Linked DNA regions of Schizosaccharomyces pombe. The gene in region 1 interacts genetically with each later gene. Each region holds a gene or a part of one and is shown in the gene's direction. Other genes may lie near its edges.

Region 1 (8,647 bases):
ACAACATGCATTCATGCGAATATTGACATAGTACATTTCTATCTTGAAACTCCATTCTTGGCTGGCATATTTTCCTCAATTTTCTTCTGGGTATGGTGTCATTCTTTGTTATATATAGTACCTAAGACGTTACCCATAAAACCTCTCTCTTCTCTTTTATTTGTTTTGATTTCATTTACTTGTATTGGATTATATGTTCGTACAGCTTTTCAAAATCCTGGATATGTAGACAAAATTGGTGCCGTCGTTCAACGTCGTGAAGAAATTAGCAAATTATTGGACAAGGATCTTTTTAATCAATCTCATTATTGTTTAAAATGCTTTCAAGTTAAGCCTCCTCGTTCTTATCATTGTGGAGCTTGTAAAAGGTGTATTAATCGTTATGATCACCATTGTCCTTGGACTGGAAATTGCGTAGGGGCACGGAACCATAGAACATTCCTTCTTTTTGTCTTCACATTGTCTACTTTAATTCCTATTTATTTTTACGTTGCATTTTATTATTTACAGAATATCCCCATTCAAAAAAAATACGAGTCGTATAGGTGCCTTTTTATTTCTGGTACCATATGCCAGTGGTCTTTAAAAGACATGTTTGTGTTAGTTGCTTCTCTAACTTTGTTTGTGAATTGGTGTTGGGTAGTTGTTTTAGCTTTTACCCAGATTTGTCAAGTTGCTCACAACGTGACCACAGCCGAATTCCGACTATTTAAACGATATGGAACTCTCGTTCCTCCTACAAAGCAAAATTCATCTCCAAAAAATGGTCACGGAATTCATGGAAGCTTTCTACGTACAGTATGTGGTATCCTGGGATTGGATCAGTGTATATTGTTAATTAGAGAATCAAATTGCTTTGTGAGATGTTTCCCATCGAGAGCTGAGTTAGGTTCCCAAAATTCTACCTCTTTGTCTCGTAATCTTTCCACAGTCAATCCATATGATGAGGGTAGCATAATTAAGAACTGTAAGACATTTTGGAAGCAAAACTTTCTTAACGATGGTCGGCAAGATGAGGCAACAAGACATGTTTAAATTGTTGTCGATTAAAAATTTAATTATAAACATTAAGAATGGAACGTTAGAATGCCTGATAACGTTAAAAAGTTATCACTTCATCATTTAATTTTAATCCCTCCACGGATCATCGTTGCGGGAGTGTTGAGTTAAGTTAGACTAGAATATTCGCGATTCACTCTGAATCTCATTAAATGCTAGCTATGTCACGTATCGTGAAATCCTTGATTTGTAGAACGGCTCGTTTCTTATTCCAAGGTCGTTGGACCCTGTTGCAACGTGAGGGAGGATGAGATTGAAACAAGTAAAGGTTTACTTGAACTTCAAGTTTTCTTGTGTGCGTGTGAACTGATGAAACCTGGCGTCTTGCTATTAATTTTTGCAATGAAAAGATTTTTGTTTCATTTTTGCTATGTAGAGATTGGCTATATATGGCTAGATCATAATTTTTGCAGAAAATTGGGCTTTAGGATTGTTTAATCCAACAAAAAATATCAATCTTTTATAGCGGCTCAAGTGTTCTTGTTATCTTTATGAGATACGCTTTTGTTATTTAGAAACGTGTATAGGTCTCTAGTTTTTCTTTTCTTTTCTAGTGTAAGAAATGGGTAATGGAGGATTCACGAATACATTACAATAAGACTATATTAGTAAAATAGAATACAGTTAAGTGGAAAAGATTACAGAAGAAACCAAGTCATTAGTAGTTCGTTGAAGATATCGCAATGTAGTTTGAAACCTAATATCTGCTTCTTTACGTGTTCTAATTACTTTAATATTAATTAATAAAACAAATTGTATTGCTTTTTTTTATGAATAAGGACAATTAGTGCTAAACATTAAGTATACAACCAAAATTTTTACGTAAACTGACAAAATTTACAAACAATTTAAGTAGAGTGTTATGAACGAGCATATGCCTTTTTTCTACTTTATGGCATTTGTTTCTCTGCTAACCCGAGTTTCTAAAAAAAAAAACGAAAGCCGATGATCACGGTGAATCAAATGACTAAACGCCTTGGCCGGTAAATATGTAAATCTCCGTAGCAACCTTTACGCCTTGACAATCGTTAGTTTGCAGAGTTGAAGAAAAGTCGATATGTTTAGGTCAATAGCTACCGAGTCTACTTTTCTACGCTACAGCGGCATTGAAGTTAGCAGAAGACTCAATTTTGCAGGAGACTATTTAGCTATCTGATCAGTCAGTGTAATAATTAGAGAGCGCTTTCGCTCACCCTTCTTGGCGGCCACCATAAAGCGACTCACAGCGAAATTGTGTATAGAGATTAAGCAACAGCGGAATATTTTGATAAATACAAATTAGATAGTCAATGAATTACTAAGCTGAATAGAATGAAAAAGAAAGAAAAATCCAAAGTGAAAATTGACAGTTACTGAGCTTGTCTACGCCCCCTAAATTTCACGCGGAAAATATTCCTCTACCGTGCAAGGCGGAGACTTTTGAACAATGTGTTAGCTTAGGATTTAAGTCACATCTTAGCAAAGCGTTCAGGGAAGAAGACATACGGTCAAAGTTATCATTTTTGTGTGATTTTCATTATTTATTGTTGCACGAGATAATTTAAATTTTCATGCAGAAGATTTATTTTTTTTTTTGGAATTTATTCTGCTCGGCCAACATTCTTGATTATTCTTGTTTACATTTTTTTATGAGCGGCTTATCGTTAGATATCACTTGTCACTTGGCACTACATGCTTTTTTCTATGAATTATTCCTTTGATATCGACTAATCATCTGAAATAGCGAGGCGAGATTTCGACAGAAGCTTTACCCCCATAAAAATTTTCGTTGTGTTTATACAAAGTGGAAGATGATTACATGTCTGCATTTGTATCAAGTTAGTCTAACTATTTGCTTGAGTCCCACGCTGCTTAGCACACAATCACATACGTACGTGGGCGAAATTGTGTGAAACTCTCGGGGAGCCACTTCGGCTGCTTATTTATTTACTTTTATTTACAACGCGGCGTTGATGGAAAAATTCTAAAACAGTGTGTGAAAACTTGGTTTGCGCGTGCTTGTTAGTGGGCCATTCTAATATATGTCTATACTGGCATATATTTACTTTATTTTACCACTATTACTATTTAACTCATTGCCGCAATCCATACAAGTGCATTCTTTTTTGTTTGTTTTCGTTGCCATGCTCGTTGTCAAGTGTTTACATTCGATTGTGCACTCGCGCTCTGTCGTTGAAGGAACATCCAGAATTAATGTTACCTTGGGCGGCATATTCACATGTTGGTGTACGCTGGATAATCGTTAATGGCATGTAGCTTGTTTCTCTCTATAAGCACGCAGTAATATTAGTGCAGTAACGAAAAGCCGTTAACGTGCTCACTACCAAATACTCAACCACACGAATAGCCGCTGGCTATATCTAATATTCTTTCTCTTTTCATTTCTTTTTTCTCAAAAACATATTTCTTTCTCTACCATTTGCATTTATATGAGTGTATTACTTTGAAGCTTTGATTTTTTTTGTTTCGCGGTATACTTATTGATTATTCGCTAATACTGGTACTTGTTTCTCTTATTTTTTTTCTGTTTCTCCTTTATTTGCTTTTTAAGCAACCTTTTAAATCTACCTGTGAAATAAATATCATCGCCTTTTTTCATTTTCTTTTTTCATTTCCACATTCTTTTCTCTTCTTACTCCTCTGTGATACTATATTTTGGGTCGTTAGAACGCATTGACTTCAATCTACTTTCTCTTCCCTGCATTTTTACCAAGCCTTCCGAATATATTTATTCCAGTTTTTCTATATTCTTTTTTTTTATTTTTTTTACTTCCATTGTACTCCTCATAATCATTATTATCTTGGAAATTTAACTTTCCCTTTTCATTTTTTTCTTCTCTAAAACTCCTTCTTTCACTGTCGACCATACTGTTGACTTTTCTCCTCTTCTTTTATAAGATAAAATACACTTCTACGCGTCTTTAGAATTCTTTGATTGATTATTCTTTCGTACTACTTTGAATTGTATACTTTGCTTTTTTGGTCATACTCTTGTTCATTTCACTTTGTTTTATTCTCCATCAATTTCTTGGAGTAAGTCTAATACTCTTGTTCGGTATCTTTACTTAGTAAGCTTAATTTTTTAAAAAATTAAAAAAAAAAAAATTTTTACCATTGTTAGGCTCATATTCCTTTCCACATCATTCAAGATTTTGTTGAGGTTGTTGTGATCTGCTTGTTTCATTCGCATTTTTTCCTTCCATTTATTCGCTTTGCCTACGTGCCTCTCAGTCTAAGTTTCCTTATTCAGTTTGGGAATTACGAGTTTTCTTATTTTTAGAATTAAAAAATACGTTGGACGTTGACAGTTTTCTTTTGGCTAAGATTTTCCGTTGCTATTAATTATTGTCTTTCTCGTCTAATTGAGTTTTTTAAACAGACTTGTTGTTAGCTTTAAGCGATATTGTTTAACTATTCATTTATTACCCGCTTGGATTTTTATCGTTAAACGCATCATAAGTTGCCTCCTAAGTTCGTGAGCTTTATTGGTCCGATTTTGGTTTTCGATATATTTCAAAGTGATATAAATTGTAAGATATACCCCTTTATTATTTGTTACCAAACGTCACTCTCGTTGATTTCTTTATTTTACATTTCTTCCTTTGTCAATCAAGCAGCTGTGCTCTTAGTATAATTCTTTCTTTAACAGTTATTGATTTCGGTCATTATGTCTTCTAGCAGTCCCTCTAGTCAGTCCCGTCTTTCTGTCCCTGGAAGAACTCCACATTTACCACCACTTACTATCCCTCATACTGTAAGTGCTGAAGGTCTCGCTACACCAAACACACCGCATGCTCTACTCCCTACCGGGCTTCTTATGGGGAGTCCTTTTGTTCAAAGCCCAACGAGCTATACTTCCATGCATGGCTTGCCCTTTAGCACTACCCAAATGGCAGCGGCTCCCGCTCATCCCACGACTGGCTATAATGTTTCACGTGTTACCAGTCCTAATGTTGCTAACTTTGCCCCGGGTTACTTTCCACTTCCGAATAACACTACACAACCTGTTAAAACTGTGTATGTTGGTAACCTTCCTCCCAATACCCCTATTGATGAGATTCTTTCTTGCGTGCGTACGGGACCAATTGAATCTGCATGGATTCTACCTGAGAAAAATTGTGCCTTTATTTCCTTTTTGGATCCGAGCCACGCTACTGCCTTTTTCCAAGATGCTGCCTTGAAGAGATTGACAATTCGGGGTACTGAAGTAAAAGTTGGTTGGGGCAAGAACTCAGCCTCGAATTCATCTGTACTACTTGCAGTCCAGCAATCTGGCGCTTGTAGGAATGTATTCCTCGGCAACTTGCCGAATGGTATTACTGAAGATGAAATTCGTGAAGATTTAGAACCATTTGGACCTATTGATCAAATCAAAATCGTAACTGAACGAAATATAGCTTTTGTTCATTTTTTGAACATTGCAGCTGCAATCAAAGCTGTCCAAGAGCTACCATTAAACCCCAAATGGTCCAAACGGCGCATTTACTACGGACGGGATAGATGCGCTGTGGGTTTGAAGCAACCTGCTTACTTTTCTAAAGGCCAAGTCGGCGTTGTTGGCGGTTATCCCGTAATGGGGTATCCTCCCCCAAGCCCGGTTCTCCAAAAACCGGATCTTATCATGACTGGGAATCGCACTGTTTACATTGGTAATATCCATGCTGATACTACTATTGAAGAGATATGTAACGCTGTTCGTGGAGGATTGTTACACAATATTCGTTATCTTCAGGAAAAACACATTTGTTTCGTAACTTTTGTTGACCCTGTTTCTGCTTTTCGATTCTTTGAAATGTCCAACATTCATGGTTTGGTCATTCGCAACCGTCGTTTAAAGATAGGTTGGGGTAAGCATAGCGGCCCTCTTCCCTCAAATATCGCTTTAGCCGTTGCTGGTGGTGCTAGTCGTAACATTTATATTGGCAATGCTGATGATTCTTTGACTATTGAACGCTTAAAAGAGGATTTTGAGGAATTTGGCGAAATTGAGTACGTCAACTTTTTCCGCGAAAAGAATTGCGCTTTTGTTAACTTTACGTCGTTGGCAAGTGCGATTAATGCGATTGATCGAATCAAGCAGAAGAAGGGATATGAAAACTATCGAATTAGTTATGGTAAAGATAGGTGTGGTAATCCACCTAGAACTAATTCCAAGTCAGACGTTCTTTCTGTCTCTTCTGATATGAGCATGCCTGTTGATCTCGTTGTTCCTCAGCAAGGAATATCCGGGTTTATGCCAACAAACTCCAATATTTAAATATTGTAGAGTGTTTTGCTCTTAAACGTGTTCGATATTTTTATGGATAAAGGTTTTCCAGCGCTTTGAGTTCATATCAATTTGTGCTCATAAAACACCTTTTATTGACGAACTTTTTTATTGCTTATTTTACAAAATCACTTTCTTTTTTACATTAGATTATTAAGGGTAACCATTTGCATTCGCATTACAAAAGAAAAAGTATTCTTTTGTTTAAATGACCTTACTTGCTATTGTTTCAACATTCCTTCGTTTTACTTTCTCTCGTTTATGCCCCTTACTCAACGTGGCCCATACTCTTTTCTTCTTACTTTGTTTCATTTTTACGCATTATAAAACCTTCATTGTTGAAGTAGCAGTTTTTTTTTGTTTTATTTGGCATTTTTTCTACTATGTTAGAGGTTATCGAGTTTGTATTTCTATCAAAAGCTCGATGTCCTTCGTTTTTGATTCGTTTTTGCAAACAATATTGACGAATCTTTCCACATTTTCAATTACAGTTTTAAAATGTACTTCTGACTTCTATTTTTATTTTTTTTTTCATTCTACATATTCTTATATATTTATGTTTCGATTTTCAACGTTATTTCTTTATCAAAAGTGATTGCTGAAGACTTCAACGGTGTTGATTAATACTTAACAATAGCTTTAATTTGATTGTCTGGTCATATTTAAATGCTAGTTTGTTAATTATGGTTTATTTGTCGCGTTCTAAATGCGTTTTTCAACCCATTATTGTCTACTAGTTCCAAACCGAAATTGTTCTAATGATCTTATGTATATATTTTTGGTCTAGGTAAATATACATCTCTTCTTTTGCTCATCCTACACCGTCGTTGAGAGATTGTACAAAGTTCGGTAATTAATGAATGCAAACATAACAAAACTCTACCGTAGTAATGAGTTTTGAAAAGGCATCAGTATTTGAGTCTCTATTTATATTGTGCGTTTGGTGCTGTAAATGTTTTCCTCATTTATTAGAACAGCTGAACATTGTAGCACAATCTAAAAACAGTTTATTCAGTTTCATTGTATAATGCAACTTAAACAAGTATCTAATTTACACTATTTGTAAAATGAAAGAAAGACAACGCATCTACCACTCTAACTTACGAGATCCATCCATAAACATATCAAGGGTCGCCTCATCAACTTTCGAACGTGCTGCTTGAAAGTCAGAAACGAACTGCTGTAAAAGCTTAATACACTCTCCTTTCATTTCTCCGGTTGAAAGAGTACCAGCCTTATAGGTATTGTACAATTGTTTCAACTTCTCGTCGTCATCTAGGAAAAAAGAAAGATATTGATATGCAACATCAACGTCTGGGTTACCTCCTTTTTCACGGTGGATTTCGATTGTAGCGCCACCTCCAGAGAAAGCATGCCTGTTGATCTTATTTTTAATTTTGTTTGGAGTATCAGTCATGAAAATCGCAGAAGAATCTTTACTGGCACTCATTTTTGATTGTGGTCCTTGGAGAGCTGGGAAAAAGCGACTATGCAAAAGTGCAGGCTTCTTAAATTTCAACCTACCAGAAACATCACGCGTCAAGCGGAAGTAGGGATCCTGGTCGATTGCACAAGGAATCAAACACGGGATATCTTTGGCGCCATTAAAGATATGAGGAAAGGAGCTGCTGAAGCTAGGAGCGGCTTGAATTGACGCAAAATGTATTTTTCCAATAGAGTCACTATCGGTGAAGCCGAAACAAGCCTTGGATTGGTTTGCAGTAATGCATTTCGCAATACGAACGACATTTTGATAAAACGCACCTCCAACATAGGTACTGTTCATGAAAATAAAAGTCTTTTTTGGATCAAACCCAACAGCAATAATATCCTTAGCATTCTCACGAGCAAATCGTTGGCAATCCTCTAAGGAAACACCTTGCTTAAACAAGAACTTCTCATCGTCCGTTAACTGGATGACCAATGGCACTTGAAAAACATCCTGAAGCCACTTGCAAAACATAAAAGGAATCATATGGCCTAAATGCATGCTGTCACTACTTGGTCCTCTACCTGTATACAAATAGAAAGGTTTCTTCTGCTCATAGCGGTCCAAAATCATATCAAAATCACGATGGGAGAAGAAAGCACCTCTACGAAGTAATAAATGAGGCTTCTTTCCAGTTAGCTTTTCGAAGCGCTCAAGTTGTTCAGGAGTAATTTTCCTAGTGCCAAATTGAACGATTAAGCGCTCATAATCGATTCCTTTCTCTTCACCATCGACTATAGAGCCTTTTACATCCCAGGGCGTCACAATTTGTTCCTCAACAGACATTTTTCCTCTTCAAAAAGAAACTGTTCAAGGCGCACTACGTTCGCAGA
Region 2 (6,186 bases), 3.3 Mb from region 1:
TGAATATTCTTGGTCATAGTTTATAGTATATTCTTGGGATTTTTGATGAGTCAAAATTTCCTCTTCTATTTGTAATGTATAGATATTATAGAAGGTGTAAGTTTAAATGAAAGACAAGCGAATTTTTACCACAGTTAATTGGTAATAAAAAAGTTTGAACTTTTGGTAGGTGCACCTCCCGTTTTTAACAATATTGAAAAATACTAAAAAGTAACTACAATGTTTCCAAATATTTAAGGAATGTTGAATGTAAAACGAAAGTGATCGTATTTTCACGTTTCAAGGTAGTAGAGGAAAATGCAAAGACATGTCAAATTAGTGCAACCTCAATTGTCCATTACCAATTAATGTTGACTGTCACAATCTTTTATTTTTACTGATTACAATATATTGCATTTTATTTCTCATACATAACTTTTTTATTTTATTTTGTTTTAAGCATTTGCATACATTTTTTGGAATATCAGATATGAGTTTCTCTAGAAATCAAGTGCTAAAAGGACTAAAGACGAAAAAAGCCAAACCTAAGAAAAACCCGACTGTAGATGAACTCTTTGAAATAGCTATTGATCTAGAAGAAAGTGGGGATCGCTGGCGATTGGAACCTGCAAAGGTATGTACAAAGCTATAATGGTGAATTTCAAAAACGTTTGAACATGATCATTCATACGAATTGTAATATTAGTTTTGAGAAACAAATAGAATTTACGCTTTTTTGCGCCGAGTTCTCAATACTTGAGCACGTGAAATTAAAACTAACAAGCAATAGTGTTTAAGATTTTATCAAAAATCCCTTGAAACATATGATAGATATTTATTACAATGTCCGAATGATTTTGATGCTCGTTTTAATAAAGCAAGATTGCTACTCAATATGGCTACAAACTGCGATATGCTATACAAAGATTCACAAGTATGCCTCCAGAAAAGTATTGAGATGCATAAGCACGCCTTATTATTACAAGAGGCCCCAGATATTTGGTTCAACCTTGCGCAGGTTCATCTTAATTTGGCTGAGATTTGGGTGGATCTTGATCGCGAAGATTTGGCATATCCTGAAATCCAGCAAGCACTGCAATCCATTTCACATAGCATTGATTTACAAGAACGAGAAAGAATTGAATGGGAAAATACTATACAAACATCGTCGCAACAAAAATATGAAGAAATACCTGACATACAGGCTCGACGATTATACTTTATAGAAGCAGACAAAGAGGCATCGACATTAGTTACCGAAATTGCTTCTTTAGCATGCAGTTGCAAGTTACTTGAAGAATCAGATTTTGAGAAACTCTGTCAGATAATGCTACCGATTACGGAAAAACTCGATATATTAAAGCTAATGGACTGGTACTTGGCGAAAACCAAACGTTTAGTACTTGGTGGTAAAGAAAATGAGGTGGCATGGATTGATTTACTGCAAGTTTTTGACCATCAACTTAGCCAATTACCACAGCTAAACTTGCAAAACCCGTTGGATCCGAACTCGTCTGTTAAACCTTTGCATATTCAATTGCTGTGCGACAAAGCCGATGCATACATAGACTTTGCAGAGACGCTACTAGATTCCTGCGTATCTACAGAAGAAAGCGCATCTATTGAAATAATGACTAGAGCCTGGAATATGTTAGGAGTAGCTGCCAAAAGTTTAAAGATGGCTAACACTTACAATCCTAATCATGTAAGAATACTCATTTCTAGAGCTGACTTAGAGATTCAACGTGCAGCTATCCCCATCATGGTAGCTCAAAACTCCAAACTTGTGTTGTATAAAAATGCCAAAGTATTATACGAAAAAGCATTCCGTGATTATTCAACCAAAAAGACAACAAGAACGTTTGCGGAGATTGTCTTAAAGCATTATCAACTACAGAAATTGACCAACCCAGAAACGATTAAGATGCTGGACTCCTTAACTGAGGTTGCTCAAGAAGACATTCTCAATACCATTTAAAGAAACAGACGTTTCTTACTTAATTTGGCAGGCTAATTAGTGAATCCAATTATAAATATAAAGTTTTACTTTGTTTCATTACTTGTATCATCAAATTCATGTTTCGCTAGCCGAATTTTTGCATCGTATTGTTTCATACGCTCCAAATGATCTTGCTTCAGAGCATTCAGATGAAATGCTTCGCTACCGATGATGAGCCATAATAGCCCGAACGTATACGTTGATGACCAACGTAACATGGAAAAAATTGACTTTTAACTAAAAAAAACTGTTTCTAATATCTTTGGTGTGCAAGTTCAGACTCAGTATTTGGAGTAGCTGCTGTAATTAATCGATATAATATAAATCACAAATGATTGAGCCTTTTAAAGGCGTTGAACACTTAAGAATCAAAACTCCAAAATACCGAAAGACAAAGAGAAAAAGAAAATCAATATTTTTCGCTCGAAATAAGGATTACCATTAAGACAAGTTTTGACTGTACGGAACTGTGTAGGATAACGGTAAATCAATTTTCTGCAATGCTTTGATATTTATTGACTTTCATTAAATCTCTGTAAATCAGAATTTCTATTGTCTATCTAGTTTTGTCCATTAAATCAGAAATTATTCAGTTTCTATTATTGTTACTTTTTATTTATAATAAGGATTTGTTTAATTCAACCGAATAATGCTAGTTGGTTCTTAAAGTCATACTCCTTATTTCCTTCATTCCCAGCCTACTCAGTCTTTGCCCGCAAAAAGATATTTCAAGGCCTATTTGATTTAACTCATTTATTCAAATTTCACTTTTTGTTAACTGAGTTTTACTTTTGTTCAACCTTGACAGCTCAGCGAAATTAGTGTAAATAAATAAAATCAAAAGAAGCGCTAATTCAAGAGGCCTTTTTGATTCTACTTTTTACTGTGTATACAACTTATAAATGACATTATATCCTTGACAAATTTGCTTACGTTTGTTTCAACTTTTATTAACCCCTCGAAATTAAATTATTATTATGCTCATGGCATTGTTGATCAAACATTGAGATTTGATTAAGCATATAAAATAATAATCATAAGAAATAAAACACTATGATAAATATAATTCTTCTAAATGTATACTAAAAAAAAAAATCCTTGAGAGTTCGCCTTTTCTCTAATTTTAACGGCACCAAACGTGGGTCATTAAAGACTAACATCTCCTTTGTTCTCAGTATTCCATGCCTATGTTAAATTCTGAGACTTACCAAGAGCTTGAATATCAACAATCATAGGTTACTTCCTATATGTCTATTTATAGATTTTTTTACAACTAATTGTCAGATACATTTACTTAGAGAATTCTTAGCTTTCCCTTTTGAATATTTCAAGTCTTAGCATTTAGTGACTGATTTAGACTCCTTTTTTATGACTTGCTGATATCCTCGCCTTACGGTGTATAAAATTCATATTTACCGCTATTGCAGTAAGGGCAGCAGTTTTTTTCATTTCTTAATTCTTCCGTACTTTACTTTACAGCATAACTATATCTTATTTGATCATTTGCTCTGTTAACGATGTTCTCTTCGAAGGAAAATTCCTTAGGTGCTAAACGTGCCCCATTTTCATCAAATACAACATCTTCTCAAAGAGTTGCTGCCCAAGCCGCTAAACGAGCATCTTCTGGTGCATTTGCGCAACTTACTTCTTCCCAAATTCAAGAACTTAAAGAGGCTTTTGCCCTATTAGACAAAGATGGTGACGGTAATATTGGAAGAGAGGATGTCAAAACCATGCTTACTTCTTTGAATCAGGATGCCTCCGAAGATTCAATCAATCACATGTTTGAGTCAATAAATCCGCCTATTAATTTAGCCGCTTTTCTCACTGCGATGGGTAGTATGCTGTGTCGAATCTCCCCCAGAAATGATCTACTAGAAGCGTTCTCTACATTCGATGATACTCAATCCGGCAAAATTCCAATTTCCACTATGAGAGATGCTTTGTCAAGTATGGGTGATAGAATGGATCCTCAAGAAGTCGAGTCTATTTTACGCTCGTACACCAGTCATGGTGTATTCTATTACGAGAAATTCGTTGATGCTATTGCTGGGTCAAAAGATAGCAATTGAGTTAAGAGCAGCCAGATATGTTTCACATTCTTCCCTCTAATACTTTATCTTTTTAACCTGAGCCATTTCCCTTAGACGAATTTTCCTCTTCTCTTTTAACTTTTTATGAAAGCATTTGATACATTTATGTTCGTTGTGACCTATACTTTATGTGTCTCAATACTTAGCTACTCTCTGCGACTTTACTATTATTTGCAGTGTTTAGTGAGTTAGAGCTTAGGCTTAATGTCATTAACCATATTTTCATTCGAGGGTTCAATTAATGTATGAATAAATCTATATTAGCCCAGCATACCTATGTTCCTCATCAAAATTATCCTACCTTGTAAAACAGCTCTCACATGACTAGAAAAAAATAACTTTTAAGCACCAACTTGTACTTGTTAGTAGTATAAACTACATTATTCGAAAACAAAATTTGATGTACTAATAAGTATCCATAAACTTTAATATTACTAATCAACATTCCATATTATAACAACTTCCAAACAACCTGTAATCTAGTGTGTATTAAGAAAAATCGTGTAGAAAGAAATTTTTGAATGACAACAGACACTAGAATCGTTAACAATGTATAGGATAACTTGCTTTAATCCAAGAAAAACATTATATGCATAAATTTTGGAAAGACACATTAGATGCATTTGATTTAATCGACTTCCTCCATCTTGCTCTCAGCATTGTTTTCAGCAGCGACGGATTCGGTAGAAATTTCCTCAATAGGAGCCTCCTCCTCTTCGTCAATGCTAAGACCAAGAGAAATAAGACGGTTGATACGTTGAGCATAAGCACTAGGGTCATCAAGAGTGAAACCAGAGGACAACAAGGCGGTCTCATACAAAATAGTAGCAAGATCCTTCACAGAGCGGTCTTCGGCACCATTCTCCTCAACCTTCTTCTTGAGCTCAGCAATGATGGGAGACTTGGGGTTAATCTCAAAAGTCTTGCGGCTAGACATATAGGCACTCATAGAAGTATCACGAAGGGCTTGAGCCTTCATGATACGTTCCATGTTAGCAGACCAACCATATTGACCGGTAGTTAACAAGCAAGGAGAACCAACAATCTTGTTAGAAACAACAACCTTTTCAACCTTGTCACCCAAAATGGTCTTAAGTTGCTTAGCAAACTCCTCATACTCTTTTTCGAGCTTCTCGCGAGCAGCCTTCTCCTCGTCAGTCTCTTCCAACTCAAGACCATCCTTAGTAATGTTAACCAATTTCTTGCCCTCGAATTCCTTGAGTTGAGTGACAGCGTACTCATCAATGGGGTCAACCATGAAGAGAACATCAAACTTCTTGGCACGGAAGATTTCCAAGAAGGGAGAGTTCTCAACGGCTTGCTTAGATTCACCAGTGATGAAATAAATGTTCTTTTGATGTTCGGGCATCTTAGTGATGTAGTCCTCAAGACTGATAAGATCATCAGGGGAGTTAAGGGAGTTGTAACGCAAAAGCTTGGCTAAAGCAGGGCGGTTAGCAGCATCCTCATGGATACCAAGCTTCAAATTCTTGCTGAAAGCATCGTAGAAAGTCTTGAAGTTCTCCTTGTCCTCGGCAATCTCGTTGAACATATCAAGACAACGACGGACAAGGTTCTTACGAATAACCTTCATGATCTTGTTTTGTTGAAGCATCTCACGAGACAAGTTCAAGGGCAAGTCCTCAGAATCAACAACACCCTTAATGAAACCCAACCATTCAGGAATCAACTCTTCACAGTCGTCGGTAATGAAAACACGGCGAACATAGAGCTTGATGTTGTTCTTCTTACGCTTGGCCTCAAAAAGGTCCATAGGAGCGCGGCGGGGGACGAAAAGAATGGCACGGAATTCCAATTGACCTTCAACGCTGAAGTGCTTGACGGCCAAATGGTCTTCCCAGTCGTTAGTCAAAGACTTGTAGAAAGAGGCATACTCTTCCTTGGTAACTTCACTGGGGTTGCGAGTCCAAATGGGCTTGGTCTTGTTCAACTCCTCAGTCTCAGTGGTGGTCTCCTTGACCTTCTTGGTCTTCTTCTCCTTCTTCTCAGATTCATCATCAACCTCCTCAATCTTAGGAGCCTTATCGTCTTCTTCATTCTTAACTTCTTCGGTCTCTTCTTCTTCAGGGACCTCCTTCTCAACCTCACGGGTAA
Region 3 (10,395 bases), 2.0 Mb from region 1:
CGAACAAAAGCAAGAGCATTAAGTATTCTTTTTCTTTGTACTTTCGCCCATCCTAATTTGCAAATTAGGAAATTACAAAACGTTATCGTAGACTGAAGAAGTACACTTCTATTCCTGTTCGTTAGCACGTTTAGTGGTGTTGCGATGCACTGGATTTATCACTAATCATTTTGTACTTCAGGTTTTAATTGTTCAATAGTCGAATTAGAGGTAGTCAATTATACGTTATCAGAATTTGTTTATTAAACATTTATGTCTTCATTACATTGCTTATACGACGGATAATAAAACAGGCTTAAAAACTCCTATTCATATGATGATACTCATAATATTATGAAGTGCATTAGAAGAAGTTACTCGTGTCCAGCGCCAGTTTATTGTGTTTCAAATTTATACCTCGTATAATGCGTTTTGTTCTGGTGGGCATAGATAATCTGCATATATAGATATTAAAATATGATGAATACTTACCAGTCAAACTATTGGAAACAAAAAAAATAAGTAAATTTAACTTACAGCTAAATAATGTAAACATACCCATCTTAGTTGTAAAGCTCGTCAAAAACAATTTAGTGAGTTTTACTGAAGGCCGAAGCATTTTTTGCATAGTATAAAACTAACAATCGCGAGAGCATTACTCTGTAGTAAGGCCAAGAGTTGCAGCATTTATGAATTAATATAAATACAACGTCTCTTTTAAATGTTATGCTTCTCTTTGGCAGCATTTTTTGTTCTTTTTAATACTTTTGTATCATTATCCTTCTAATAGAGTTAAAAAATAAATCTATGCGATTTTTTGCTAAAAAACCGTTATTTTTTAGACAATGCTGAAAAAGGAGCAGTTAACTGTCGAATCAATTAATGATGGAATATCTAAAACGTTTAGTCAAGCATTCCGTTTCCTGGCTCATCATGAGTTACGCAAGAATAGAACTTTCATGCTTGATTTGGGAGTGTCGATTTTAAAAAAATTTTTAATTGATAGCAGGGATTATAAAGTAGAAGTTGTTCAAGATTTTTGCTCAAGGAGCTTAACGGATGAGTTTAAGTTTAAATTTACATCACAACCTATAGATTCAAAGTCAGAATCAGATTCTGCTTCTTACATTCGAAACTATTTGGGACCAGAAGGCATTAAACAATTTGGGGGCTCAAACTGGTGGCTTTATCGAAAGTCACCTTTAAAATCCTGGTGGATTGAAAGGCGACATCATATAAGGCACAATCTCAAATGTGATAAAGTTATTTTTTATGTTCATGGAGGTGCTCATTATTTAAGTACTGTTCGTACTAATGCTTATCATATTCAGCGTCATACTGCAGCTCTGGGTGCTAGAACCTTTGCTCCAGATCTGCGGTTAGCACCGCAATTTCCCTTTCCTTGCTCTTTGCATGATGTACTTTCATCTTATTTGTATCTACTTAAAAGCACCAAGCCAGAAAATATAATATTTATGGGCGATAGCTCAGGTGCTGGTTTAATCGTTGCATCACTAGTTTTGATTAGAGATTCAAAATTACCCTTACCTGCTGGAGTAGTTTATGATTCCCCTTGGGTTGATTTGACTCATAGTCTTCCTTCTGTAGTTGCAGATGATGCTGCTGACTATATTCCAAGCGAAGGATTTCATCACCGAGCCAGCAGATATTGGCCCATTACTAACTTAGATTCTTTCTCAACGATATCCGAAAAGGAATTACTAAATTATTCCAAGAAACAAGAATTGACTAACTTTATTGAAAACAGCATACGTAAAAAAATTCAGACCATCAAAAATTTGATCCCCGTGTTGCAAGAGATGGATAAAGAACATGCACGTATTGATTTTGACAATGTGGACTCTCGTTTAGACCCTAACATTTTGACTACATTTCCTTTTCAAGTACAGTTTTATACCTCTAATGCAAATTTAAAGCATCCTCTGATCAGTCCTATCTTCACTGAAAACCTTGGTGGTTTACCGCCGTCACTTGTTCTGGGTGGATCGGGCGAACGCTTACGAGACGAAATAGTGTACATCGCTCACAAAATGAATACAGACGTATACAATGGTAAGCGTACAAAGGTTCGTTTGGAAATGTACGATGATTGTTGTCATGTCGTTACAGCTCTTCCTTTTGTAAAAGAAGCTGGGATTATGGTCCGACGTGCTGCTAATTTTGCTTATTGGTGTTTAAAGCAGCATGATTCGTCTTTTGTATCGCCTAATAAACACCTTGATGGTAATCCGTCTCATGCTAATGAAGATATGGTTCGTTTAAGAATTTCGCGAAATGGTGAGGAACGATTGATGGAGCCTAAAGATGAAATTCAATGTTTAAATTTACCGAAAAGTGCTTTAGGTACTATACAGGTGAAAGCACTCATTCGCTGGATTGACGTTGAATTAATCTTGCTCAGTAAAGACACTAAAAAGCCAGCACGGTACTTCGCTGAATTTAAACACGCCGATTTAAATGGGTATTTAGTCAAGCCCAAAGAGTATACGATGGAAGGGGAAAATCCTCCACTTTCTGCCTTGGTAGCTAACTGTAAAATTAGCCCCGAAAAAAAACAATAATTGCCTGAGACTTGTTTTCATTCTTTTATTTTATCTCTTCTCGATTTCCTTTTTCGTTGAAGTTGAGTTCTTTAGTTATTCACTTTACTTCAACTTATTTATTTTATCAGAAGATTACTAAGGGATATCCACATACGTGCCTAATATCCTGGCAAAAGACGACTGGCTTACTACATTTTAACAGGTATAATTTATTGTTTAACCATTTATAAGTATTCTCTTACATAGTATTGTAAACAATCCATTTGTATTTCGTTGCCATAGTAACATTCATAAATATTTACATTGCTGCGCAGTCATGATTTATACAGCTGCAGCATTGCCAATGTGTTATACTTCTTAATTTAATGTCGTATCTTTCAAAAAATGGCTCTAACGACAACAATAATATTATCAAAAAGCTAGTAGATGCTGAAAAACATTGCAATGCCGTGAAAGACGCGTCTTTTGATGAACGGACATGGATCTGGATTCCTGATTCGAAGGAATCATTCGTGAAAGCTTGGATAGTTGAAGATTTAGGAGAAAAATATAGGGTGAAATTAGAAAGAGATGGCTCGGAAAGAATTGTGGATGGATTTGATGCTGAAAAAGTAAATCCACCGAAGTTTGATATGGTTGATGACATGGCTGCGTTGACATGTCTCAACGAACCATCAGTAGTTAACAACCTTACTCAGCGTTATGAGAAAGATTTAATATATACCTATTCAGGCTTGTTTCTCGTTGCTGTAAACCCCTATTGTCATTTACCAATTTATGGCGATGATGTTGTGCGAAAATACCAATCTAAACAGTTTAAAGAAACTAAACCCCATATTTTTGGAACAGCTGATGCCGCATATCGAAGTTTATTAGAAAGGAGGATCAATCAATCTATTTTAGTTACTGGTGAATCAGGAGCTGGAAAAACTGAAACTACTAAAAAGGTTATTCAGTACCTAACATCGGTCACTGATGCTTCCACAAGCGATTCTCAACAGTTGGAGAAGAAAATCCTTGAAACGAATCCTGTGTTGGAGGCTTTTGGGAATGCTCAGACTGTCCGGAATAACAACTCATCCCGCTTTGGCAAGTTCATACGAATTGAATTTTCTAATAATGGAAGCATCGTTGGAGCGAATTTAGACTGGTACCTTTTGGAAAAATCTCGCGTTATACATCCTTCCTCCAATGAACGCAATTATCACGTCTTTTATCAACTACTTCGAGGTGCTGATGGATCATTGCTTGAAAGTCTTTTCCTTGATCGATATGTTGACCATTACTCATATTTAAAAAATGGTCTCAAGCATATTAATGGAGTCGATGATGGCAAAGAATTTCAAAAATTATGCTTTGGTCTCAGAACTTTGGGGTTTGATAATAACGAAATTCACAGTTTGTTCTTAATTATAGCTTCAATTCTTCATATAGGAAATATTGAAGTAGCATCTGATCGTTCGGGGCAAGCTAGATTTCCTTCCTTAACGCAAATTGATCAATTATGCCATTTACTCGAAATCCCTGTTGATGGATTTGTTAATGCAGCTTTACACCCAAAGTCCAAAGCTGGACGAGAATGGATTGTGACGGCAAGAACACGTGAACAAGTAGTCCATACACTACAATCCTTAGCCAAAGGCCTTTATGAGCGTAATTTTGCGCATTTAGTGAAACGTCTGAATCAGACTATGTATTATTCTCAGTCTGAACATGATGGGTTCATTGGGGTTTTAGATATTGCTGGGTTTGAAATTTTCACTTTTAATAGTTTTGAGCAACTCTGTATTAATTTTACAAATGAAAAGCTTCAGCAATTCTTTAATCATTACATGTTCGTTCTGGAACAAGAAGAATATACACAAGAACGCATCGAATGGGATTTTATTGACTACGGAAATGATTTGCAGCCCACCATAGATGCTATCGAAAAATCTGAGCCCATTGGTATTTTTTCTTGCCTCGACGAGGATTGTGTTATGCCAATGGCTACTGATGCTACATTCACAGAAAAACTTCACCTTCTTTTTAAGGGTAAATCCGATATATACCGTCCTAAAAAGTTTTCTAGTGAAGGCTTTGTTTTAAAACATTATGCTGGTGATGTCGAATATGATACCAAAGATTGGCTGGAGAAAAACAAAGATCCTCTAAATGCATGTCTTGCCGCACTAATGTTCAAATCTACTAACAGTCATGTGTCTTCTCTTTTTGATGATTATTCGTCAAATGCTAGTGGTCGAGATAACATTGAAAAGAAAGGAATCTTTCGTACTGTGTCGCAGCGTCATAGGAGACAGCTTTCTAGTCTTATGCACCAACTCGAAGCAACTCAGCCTCACTTTGTCAGATGCATTATTCCAAACAATTTGAAGCAGCCTCACAATTTGGATAAATCTCTCGTTCTTCATCAACTTCGATGCAACGGTGTACTGGAGGGTATTAGAATTGCTCAAACTGGATTTCCAAACAAACTATTTTATACAGAATTTAGAGCTCGTTATGGGATTCTTTCGCAGTCATTAAAGAGAGGATATGTCGAAGCAAAAAAGGCAACAATAACGATCATCAATGAATTAAAATTACCTAGTACCGTATACCGTTTGGGTGAAACAAAGGTATTTTTTAAAGCCAGTGTCTTGGGTTCTTTAGAGGATCGCAGAAACGCTTTACTGCGGGTGATATTTAATTCATTTTCAGCTCGCATTCGTGGGTTTTTGACAAGACGGAGACTTTACCGGTTTAATCATAGGCAAGATGCAGCTATCCTTCTACAGCATAACTTGAGGCAGTTGAAGTTATTGAAGCCACATCCTTGGTGGAATCTTTTTCTGCATCTTAAACCGTTATTGGGAACAACCCAGACTGATGAGTATTTAAGAAGAAAAGACGCACTCATAAATAATTTACAGAATCAATTGGAAAGTACCAAGGAAGTTGCAAACGAATTAACTATTACCAAAGAACGAGTCTTACAATTGACTAACGATTTGCAAGAGGAACAAGCTCTGGCACATGAAAAGGACATTTTGGTAGAAAGAGCCAATAGCCGGGTTGAAGTTGTTCATGAGAGACTGTCAAGTTTGGAAAATCAAGTAACTATTGCTGATGAAAAATATGAGTTTTTGTATGCAGAGAAGCAAAGCATAGAGGAGGACCTTGCCAACAAACAGACAGAAATTTCTTATCTTTCCGATTTATCATCTACATTGGAGAAAAAGCTGTCTTCAATTAAGAAGGACGAGCAAACGATTTCTTCTAAATATAAAGAGCTTGAGAAAGACTATCTGAATATCATGGCGGATTATCAACATAGTTCGCAGCATTTATCAAATCTTGAAAAGGCTATTAACGAAAAGAATTTAAATATTCGCGAATTGAATGAGAAACTCATGAGACTTGATGATGAGTTACTATTAAAGCAACGAAGTTATGATACAAAGGTTCAAGAATTAAGGGAAGAAAACGCAAGCTTAAAAGACCAATGTCGTACTTACGAATCTCAATTAGCAAGTCTTGTTTCCAAATACTCAGAAACAGAAAGTGAATTGAATAAGAAGGAAGCCGAGTTAGTTATCTTTCAGAAGGAAATCACGGAATACAGAGATCAACTTCATAAAGCTTTTCAAAATCCTGAGAAAACTCATAACATTAATGATGTAAAAAGTGGCCCCTTAAACAGTGATGAGAATATTTATTCTACTTCTTCGACCACGCTTTCAATTTTGAAGGATGTTCAAGAGCTTAAATCATTACATACGAAAGAAGCAAACCAGTTATCTGAACGGATTAAAGAGATAAGTGAGATGCTTGAGCAAAGTATAGCGACTGAAGAAAAGCTTCGTAGAAAAAATTCTGAACTATGTGATATAATTGAGGCCTTAAAATACCAAATTCAGGATCAGGAAACTGAAATTATCTCTTTAAATGCTGATAATCTGGATTTGAAAGATACAAATGGTGTTTTGGAGAAGAATGCTAGTGATTTCATAGACTTCCAAGGTATAAAAAGCCGTTATGAACATAAAATTTCAGATTTACTGAATCAGCTTCAGAAGGAAAGGTGTAAAGTTGGGCTATTAAAACAAAAAACAGAAAATCGGTCAGTTACACAACACACTTTAGATGGAAATTCTCCACATCCATCATTTGAAGAGAAACATTCAGGTGATCCTCTAAAACGCATTGATGGTAATAACGATGATCGAAAAATTGACAATAAATTATTGAAAACAATTAGTAAAAGCCTTGATGCTTTGCAACTAACCGTTGAAGAAGAACTTAGCAATCTGTATTCCCTCTCTAAGGATTTATCTTTTACTGACATTTCGGGACACATACCAAACTCTATTAGGAAGCTTGAAAAAGGGTTGAGTACTTTATCAGAATTAAAGGAACGTCTCAATGCATCAAATTCTGACAGACCTTCCCCGGACATTTTTAAAGATACTCAAGCTATCATGAATTCTCGGAAGCTATTAAGCAATCCTAATTCTGATGCTCAAAGTGGTTTAATATCATCATTGCAGAAAAAGCTTTATAATCCTGAATCTAATATGGAATTTACTGGGCTGAAACCTTTGTCTCCAAGCAAAATCAGCAATTTACCCTCTTCTCAACCCGGCTCACCTTCAAAGAGATCTGGCAAAATGGAAGCACTGATTAGAAATTTTGATCAAAATAGTAGTATTCCTGATCCCTTTATCGTTAATCAACGGAATTCCGTGCTTCAAACAGAGTTTGAAAAAATCAATTTGAAGTTAAAGGAAGCTACAAAGTCTGGAATCTTAGATAACAAAGATCTATCAAAATTTTCGGAACTTATACAATCTTTGTTAAAAGAAAATGAGGAACTTAAAAACTTAACTACTAGTAATTTAGGCAGTGATGATAAAATGCTTGATTTTGCTCCATTACTTGAAGATGTTCCAAATAATACTAGAAACCAAATCAAAGGTTTTGTGGAAAAGGCAATATCATCGAAGCGAGCTATTGCAAAGTTATATTCGGCAAGCGAAGAAAAGCTGTTTTCAACGGAAAAAGCTTTAAGAGAGATAACCAAGGAAAGAGATCGTTTGCTTCATGGGTTGCAAGGACCTTCTGTTCCTACATCTCCTTTAAAGGCTCCCACTGCTTCTCAATTAATAATTCCCAATTTTGATGGTAGTATAACTAATTATTCTGGAGAAGAAGAAACCGAGTGGTTGCAAGAAGAAGTTAATATAATGAAGATAAAGGAGCTTACTTCTACAGTTAACAAGTACCGCGAACAGCTTGCGATGGTCCAGTCACTCAATGAGCATGCAGAATCTTCACTTTCTAAAGCTGAAAGGTCTAAAAATTATCTTACCGGGCGTTTACAGGAAGTTGAAGAACTCGCTCGCGGATTTCAAACAACAAATGCTGATCTGCAAAACGAACTGGCAGATGCTGTCGTGAAACAAAAGGAGTATGAAGTTCTTTACGTTGAAAAGAGCAACGATTATAATACTTTGCTGCTGCAAAAAGAAAAACTGATGAAACAAATTGATGAGTTTCATGTCATTCGTGTTCAAGATCTCGAGGAACGAGAAAAGAAGGATCAACTACTCTTTCAACGTTATCAAAAGGAGCTAAATGGTTTCAAAGTACAGTTGGAAGAAGAACGTGAGAAGAACTTGCGCATTAGACAAGATAATCGGCACATGCATGCGGAAATTGGTGATATCCGTACCAAATTTGACGAATTAGTTTTGGAAAAGACAAATTTGTTAAAAGAAAATTCAATACTTCAAGCAGACTTACAATCTCTTTCTCGTGTCAATAATTCTTCCTCAACAGCGCAACAAAATGCCCAAAGCCAACTTCTTTCTTTGACTGCACAACTCCAAGAAGTACGAGAAGCAAACCAGACATTAAGAAAAGATCAAGATACCCTTTTAAGAGAAAATCGAAACCTTGAGCGAAAACTTCACGAAGTTTCAGAGCAATTGAACAAAAAATTCGATAGTTCTGCAAGACCTTTTGATGAAATTGAAATGGAGAAAGAGGTATTAACACTCAAGAGTAACCTTGCTCAAAAAGATGACTTACTATCATCATTAGTTGAACGCATAAAACAGATCGAAATGTTTGCGCTAAAAACTCAAAAAGATAGTAATAATCATCGAGAAGAAAATCTTCAACTGCATCGTCAACTCGGAGTTTTACAAAAGGAGAAAAAGGATTTGGAGCTCAAATTGTTTGATTTAGATCTTAAAACTTATCCCATATCAACATCAAAGGACGTCCGAATGCTACAAAAGCAAATATCAGATTTGGAAGCATCGTTTGCTGCTTCCGACATCGAACGAATTAAAGGAATTGATGAATGTCGCAATCGCGATAGGACTATCCGTCAACTGGAAGCTCAAATATCAAAATTTGATGATGATAAAAAGAGAATACAGAGCTCAGTTTCTCGTTTGGAGGAAAGAAATGCGCAACTGAGAAATCAATTAGAAGATGTGCAAGCTTCAGAAACACAATGGAAATTTGCACTACGTCGGACGGAACATGCTCTTCAAGAAGAGCGTGAACGCGTCAAAAGTTTGGAAACCGATTTTGATAAATATAGATCTTTGCTGGAGGGTCAAAGAGTAAAGAGAAGTGAAAGTAGATTATCCATGAGGTCCAATCGTTCGCCTAGCGTTCTAAGGTAGCCAAGCTTCCCAAAGACTCGACATGTATTTTTTAAGATGATGTAAATTATTAGTTCATGAATTTAAAATTATTTTATTATTACTATTATTATGCTCTGCGTCAACGTAACAAGTAACCACAAGGATACTTTAGTTCAAAAAAAAAAGTAAGTCGGTCAAGTAAAAGGCATTTTAGTTCGGTTTACTTTTTATTTTACCCCTATTATTTGTACAATGGTTATATGCAGCAATCACATTGTAAAAGAAAACTATGAAGAGATAGGCGGCGATATTAAATGTAGAAGAGCTCTTGCATAACAGCGGCACAAATATAAATACAAATACAAATAAAAGAAGAGGACATTTACAATTACACTTTAACATTGTAAGTTGGAAGAACATCACAAAAAAATTTCATTCAAGTATAAAAATTCTAAACGTGATTCAGTGGCTTGCATTATAAAATATTTATTGTCATAACAATCATTATAAACTGTTTGTAAAGAACAATCATAAAAGGAGCAAACGTTTTCAAAAAAATAAAACAATTACTCGATGTATTGAAAATCAAACACCGACTTATTGAAAACATCGAATGCATCCAACATGAAGTAAAATCTATTCTTGAGCACCATTGAAAGCGAGAAGGTTAATAGTGCTGCTACCAACAGGAATAGACAAGAGTACATCGTGAATACCCATCTTAATGATAGCATCTTTAACTTCGCTAGCGCTGGCAGCAGGGTGTAGGCCAAGGTAGTAAGCGGACAAACCTGCAACATGAGGGGTTGCCATAGAAGTACCAGAGATGGTGTTAGTACTAGTATTTGAACCGATCCATGTAGACAAAATGTTAAGTCCAGGAGCGAAGATGTCAACACAGCTACCATAGTTAGAGAAGTAGGCCATTTGGTCGTTTATAGTGGAAGCGCCAACGGTGATGGCTTTCTTAGAAGCAGCAGGAGATGAATAGCAAGCGTCATCATACTCATTTCCAGCAGCAACGGCATAAATAACACCGTTGGTAACGGCAGAATCAACAGCCATATCCAAAACAAAGCTGTTGCCGCCACCAAGAGACATGTTGCCAACAGAGGTTTTCTTGCCGGACGATTTGTGATGACGAACAGTCCACTCAACACCGGCAATCACATCAGCCATGGTACCAGATCCACTGGAACGGAGAACCTTGA
Region 4 (5,113 bases), on another chromosome or scaffold:
ATTCGTATGTACAGTCGTCTTAGTCTACTATTGTATGGTATGTGGCATACGCAGCCGTGGGTGCCAGCCAGCAACCATACCAAGTCAAAAATTTCTCTTATAGCAAATCAATTCTTCATTCAATTCAAATAATGTAAAAAAAAACGCATCTATAGAAACATACGATGAAACTTTTTAAATACAAACTAATAATGAAAATACTCGCAGACTAACAATGAAAATACTCCAAAATCTAATAAAGAATTAGCAATTTGGCATTTCATGAAACCGTAAAGCGTCAAACGAAATGAAATCTAATAAAATTAATAAAATTAAAATAAAATGCCTTCTTCTTCTTCTCAGTTTCATCGTATGATTTTCTCTTTTAATTTCTTCATTTTATTCCACTTTCCTTCTCTTCTTTAGTTTTTCCTCATTTTTGGATGTTGGGAATACAGCCTCTTTCTATCTAGTTTCATCTTCAGCCTTTTTCACCACATGTTCAATCATTCGACTCTTTCTGTATTCTTCTATCTCAATTGAACATTATTGAGTCTGTTTTAATGAAAATTTTTTTTGTCTTCCCTTGATGTTGGCGCAAAACTAGACGTTCCAAATTTTTTCTCATTAATAAAGGATTATCCTCAAATCGTTTTTATAGCCCCCTTTCTACTTTGTTCGAGCATACACCGTACATTATGCATTTGCATATAGATGGAGTGATCTAGGAACTTTTGTAAATTTTTTTCTCTTTGCTTGTTTTTCCTTCCTACGAAAGTTCTACCCCTTCGTTGCACTTTTCACTTCAGTGTCTTTTTCCATAGAACAAAATGTTCCTAGCAGTTTTGCTGCTACTCTTACATTATTTTTGTGTGTTTCCTTAAACAAAAGAAATTTAAAAAAATTAGAAAAAAAAAAAAAATTTAAAAATAAATAAATTTTTTTTTACGCTGCTTCTAGAGCACAAATAACACACTCTCTTCATTCCACTTGCTGAACCTTTTAACGATTATTAAAAAATGTTTTATTATACATTACTACACCTTTTCGAAACACTTGTGCGTTAACTCGCTTTTTTTTATCGCTCTCAAGGACGGAAGCTACTAGGTTAGTTATATTTCTCTTATTTATTTGGTTATACATTTTACCTTGGATCATGATTTTTCTTAGTATACATTGACATTCGAATACCAGCTTTGAAACTTAAAGCCCTATGCACCTAATCATTAATTATTTTTGTTTTTATTTATTTATTCTTTATTCTTTTCTAATCAAACACTACCATATCTATCGGACAATTCAATTCCTTCTGTCAAGACCGATAAATCGTTGTGTTTATCTTCCATTAAAATATTTTTCGGCCCTTTTTTTTTCTGTTTTTCTTTACTTCTATGTATTATTCTCTATACGTTGAGCATTTTACCCAATCATCCTGTGCTTTCCCATTAATCCATCGAGGTATTTCTTACCAGCTATTTCTGCCGTACATTCTTTCCATTTGCATATAAATCTCAGGATACCTTGTTAGAAATCTTGTCGAATGATTCATACAGGTCGTTACGCTTATACGGAGATCTGCAGCATATTATTTGGCTTCACGTTATTTTGATTTTACAAATTTGATTGTATCCCTTAACCATCCCTTGTTTTGATGAAACATTTTTTTATCCACGTTATCCTTATATACTGATACGTAAGCTAACGTGCAAAAGTTTCTCCTTAAGATTAAGCAACGTGTTGTCTGACTTTCGTTATCCTTTTATCCTTCACCAACTCCATCCCATTCCACCTTCTTGTATACCCAAACATACCCCAGCCGGCTGGCGATAGCTGGGATTCCTAATCTCTCAAGCATTCCCTTTCGACGTGTATATCTTATTTACATCGTACCGACTACACTTCCTATTTTATCACCCTCCCTAAATTTTCCCATTTCCTTTAAAGAGCAGAATTTTTTTTGCTCTTTACTGTAAGAGAAAAGCGTTTCTGAATTTTTTCTCTTCCTTCCACACCCTTACGTGTTATCTTTTAGAAAGATAATTTCAAATTTCTTTCCTTTTTATTTCGTGTTTGTGAATTATTACTTTTTCTCCTTACCTTTGCCTCCTTACTCGTCGGTCATAACTCGGTTTTAAAGTATTGACTTCTCGGACTAAGATTAACCCACACCTTTTTACTTTTTTTTCTTTAGTTCTCCTTGGGAAATTTATTATCTAAGCCCCTGTTTCTTCCAGTTTCTGGCTTTTGCTGTTAAATTTAAACCCTTCCAAACCTCCTTTTTTTCCGTGGCATTTACCTACACAAAGCTACTCGTAGGTGATTGCCTTTAAACTTCCTTTTTTTTTCTTGGAATATCCTTCCTGCGGACTTTTTAGACCACCGCTTTTTTTTTCCTTCTTCGTCGGAGACGACTCGTAATTGATTGTCTAATTTTAATTGTTCTTTTCACCCAAGATACCTTTTTTGTATTGCCATCTCACTTTCGTTCATCTTCACTTTTGCTTCATTTATATTACCGGAATTTAGTTTACCTAATTTTTTTTTCTTTTTTTTTAAGTTTGTGAAGCACATTTATTTTATATGTCTTCTCCAAATAATCAACCCTTGTCTTGCTCATTGAGACAGCTGTCTATTTCTCCTACCGCACCTCCCGGTGATGTTGGTACTCCCGGCTCGCTCCTTTCTCTTTCGTCTTCAAGTTCTTCAAACACCGATTCTTCTGGTTCTTCCTTGGGTTCCTTGTCTTTAAATTCTAACAGTAGTGGCAGTGACAATGACTCAAAGGTTTCTTCTCCTAGTCGTGAAATACCTTCCGATCCCCCTCTTCCCCGTGCCGTGCCTACGGTCAGACTTGGCAGATCTACGTCCAGTCGGAGTCGTAACTCTCTTAACCTTGACATGAAGGATCCTTCGGAAAAACCTAGACGTTCACTTCCTACAGCAGCTGGTCAGAACAATATTGGATCTCCTCCTACTCCACCGGGCCCATTTCCTGGAGGACTTTCAACTGATATACAGGAGAAATTGAAGGCCTTCCATGCATCTAGATCAAAATCAATGCCGGAAGTAGTCAACAAGATCAGTAGTCCAACTACCCCTATTGTCGGTATGGGTCAACGAGGAAGTTATCCTTTGCCTAACTCTCAACTTGCTGGTCGATTAAGTAATTCGCCCGTAAAGTCTCCGAATATGCCAGAGTCCGGGCTTGCAAAATCACTTGCTGCTGCTAGGAATCCTTTACTCAACCGTCCAACGTCCTTCAATCGACAAACGAGAATCCGTCGTGCACCACCTGGAAAACTCGATTTATCCAATTCCAATCCCACCAGCCCTGTCAGTCCGTCTAGCATGGCTTCTCGCCGTGGCCTAAACATTCCTCCCACCCTTAAACAGGCTGTTTCGGAAACCCCTTTTTCCACATTTTCGGATATTTTGGATGCAAAATCAGGCACCTTAAATTTTAAAAACAAAGCCGTGTTAAATTCAGAAGGTGTTAACTTTTCATCTGGCTCTTCGTTTCGTATTAATATGTCAGAGATTATTAAGCTTGAAGAACTTGGAAAAGGTAACTATGGTGTTGTGTATAAAGCATTGCATCAACCGACTGGTGTCACTATGGCCTTGAAGGAAATTAGGTTGTCCTTAGAAGAAGCAACATTTAATCAAATTATAATGGAATTGGATATTTTACATAAAGCAGTTAGTCCTTATATCGTTGACTTTTATGGTGCCTTTTTTGTGGAAGGTTCTGTTTTTATTTGTATGGAATATATGGATGCTGGTAGCATGGACAAACTGTATGCTGGTGGTATCAAAGACGAAGGAGTTTTAGCTAGAACTGCTTATGCTGTAGTGCAAGGCCTCAAAACTTTGAAAGAGGAGCATAATATCATTCATCGTGACGTTAAACCTACTAATGTTTTGGTAAATTCTAATGGCCAGGTTAAGTTATGTGACTTTGGCGTGAGTGGGAATCTTGTGGCTTCTATATCCAAAACGAACATTGGATGTCAATCTTACATGGCTCCTGAAAGAATTCGTGTTGGTGGACCTACCAATGGCGTCTTGACTTACACCGTACAGGCTGATGTGTGGTCTCTAGGCCTTACCATTTTAGAAATGGCTTTAGGAGCTTATCCGTATCCACCTGAATCATATACTTCAATATTTGCACAACTATCGGCGATTTGCGATGGCGATCCACCTTCTCTCCCCGATTCATTTTCTCCCGAAGCTCGTGATTTTGTAAACAAGTGTTTGAATAAAAACCCGTCTTTGCGTCCCGATTATCATGAGTTGGCTAACCATCCATGGTTGTTAAAATATCAAAATGCAGATGTGGACATGGCTTCATGGGCAAAAGGCGCTCTTAAAGAGAAAGGTGAAAAAAGAAGCTAAAGGTTCGCCTGCTTTCTAATTGCCTGCTCTGTTTTAAAGTACCCATGCGCATTGGTGTTTGTCTTTAATTTCGAATGCATGACTATTACGTGATCCATAATTATGTTTCAGCAGAACCGACGCTATTTTGCATTTGTGCTTTTTCATAAATTTAATAATTTGGGTATGATTCCGTATAACGGTAGTTGATGTTTGCATTTTTGCTTTAAATTAAAACGGGTATTTAATGTGTTATTACATTTGTTTAAGGCATTTACGTCCACCATAAAAAACTTTTTTTTTATTTAACTAAGGGGCTTTAGAAGTGCAAACGAAAGTTTGCAATTGTAAAAGTTACTTGTACTGTATTAATTTATTTCTTTTAAAACTTCGTTGACTGGCTCCGTCGTTTTAGCTACTATGATCTCCTGTTTCCTACAATGGTGATTACTTAGAGAGATTGAATCCATCGTAAATGCAAGTGTTAATAGATATTATATCGACCTAATAATAATTACTTAAACTATTAATATATTACTCAAAGAGATTTGAGGTATTCATTTATTTAAAAAGTACGAGACTTTTATATATCAAAGAAACAAATTCTCCCAACATAAGTCCAACAAGGTAATCTAGAGTCATAACAGATTTTTATCCTGGAAATGAAAATTCCTTCATAGTGGAATATTTTTTGAGAAAGAACGCCGTAATATATTACGGTCGCTTTTGAGATGCGTATTTCGCTTTTGCAGTTTCA

The links.
Region 2: mutations in nrd1 (region 1) and rlc1 impair growth when combined (synthetic growth defect), as found in Schizosaccharomyces pombe (one study listed by BioGRID).
Region 3: mutations in nrd1 (region 1) and myp2 impair growth when combined (synthetic growth defect), as found in Schizosaccharomyces pombe (one study listed by BioGRID).
Region 4: of nrd1 (region 1) and wis1, changing one suppresses a phenotype caused by changing the other (phenotypic suppression), as found in Schizosaccharomyces pombe (one study listed by BioGRID).

The regions. Positions count from the first base shown.
Region 1 is NC_003424.3:551,905-560,551, forward strand, and holds nrd1 (RNA-binding protein Nrd1), read left to right. Parts: upstream 1-3,381; 5' UTR 3,382-4,726; coding exon 4,727-6,316; 3' UTR 6,317-7,147; downstream 7,148-8,647. Other genes in the region: palmitoyltransferase Akr1, read left to right, coding at 1-1,035; tryptophan-tRNA ligase Wrs1, read right to left, coding at 7,413-8,600.
Region 2 is NC_003424.3:3,884,075-3,890,260, forward strand, and holds rlc1 (myosin II regulatory light chain Rlc1), read left to right. Parts: upstream 1-3,187; 5' UTR 3,188-3,495; coding exon 3,496-4,050; 3' UTR 4,051-4,423; downstream 4,424-6,186. Other genes in the region: protein tyrosine phosphatase Stp1, read right to left, coding at 1-17; SPOM_SPAC926.02 (uncharacterized protein), read left to right, coding at 470-613, 770-1,957; protein Ina22, read right to left, coding at 2,023-2,196; Hsp90 chaperone, read right to left, coding at 4,700-6,186.
Region 3 is NC_003424.3:2,546,179-2,556,573, reverse strand, and holds myp2 (Myo3-like myosin II heavy chain myp2), read left to right. Parts: upstream 1-2,870; 5' UTR 2,871-2,908; coding exon 2,909-9,223; 3' UTR 9,224-9,314; downstream 9,315-10,395. Other genes in the region: SPOM_SPAC4A8.06C (esterase/lipase), read left to right, coding at 825-2,561; vacuolar serine protease Isp6, read right to left, coding at 9,821-10,395. UniProt on the Schizosaccharomyces pombe protein: Stabilizes the F-actin cables forming the F-actin ring that surrounds the nucleus during interphase. May work in conjunction with myo2.
Region 4 is NC_003423.3:1,143,231-1,148,343, reverse strand, and holds wis1 (MAP kinase kinase Wis1), read left to right. Parts: upstream 1-1,740; 5' UTR 1,741-2,559; coding exon 2,560-4,377; 3' UTR 4,378-4,613; downstream 4,614-5,113. Other genes in the region: ubiquitin hydrolase Uch2, read right to left, coding at 5,071-5,113. UniProt on the Schizosaccharomyces pombe protein: Dosage-dependent regulator of mitosis with serine/ threonine protein kinase activity. May play a role in the integration of nutritional sensing with the control over entry into mitosis. It may interact with cdc25, wee1 and win1. May activate sty1.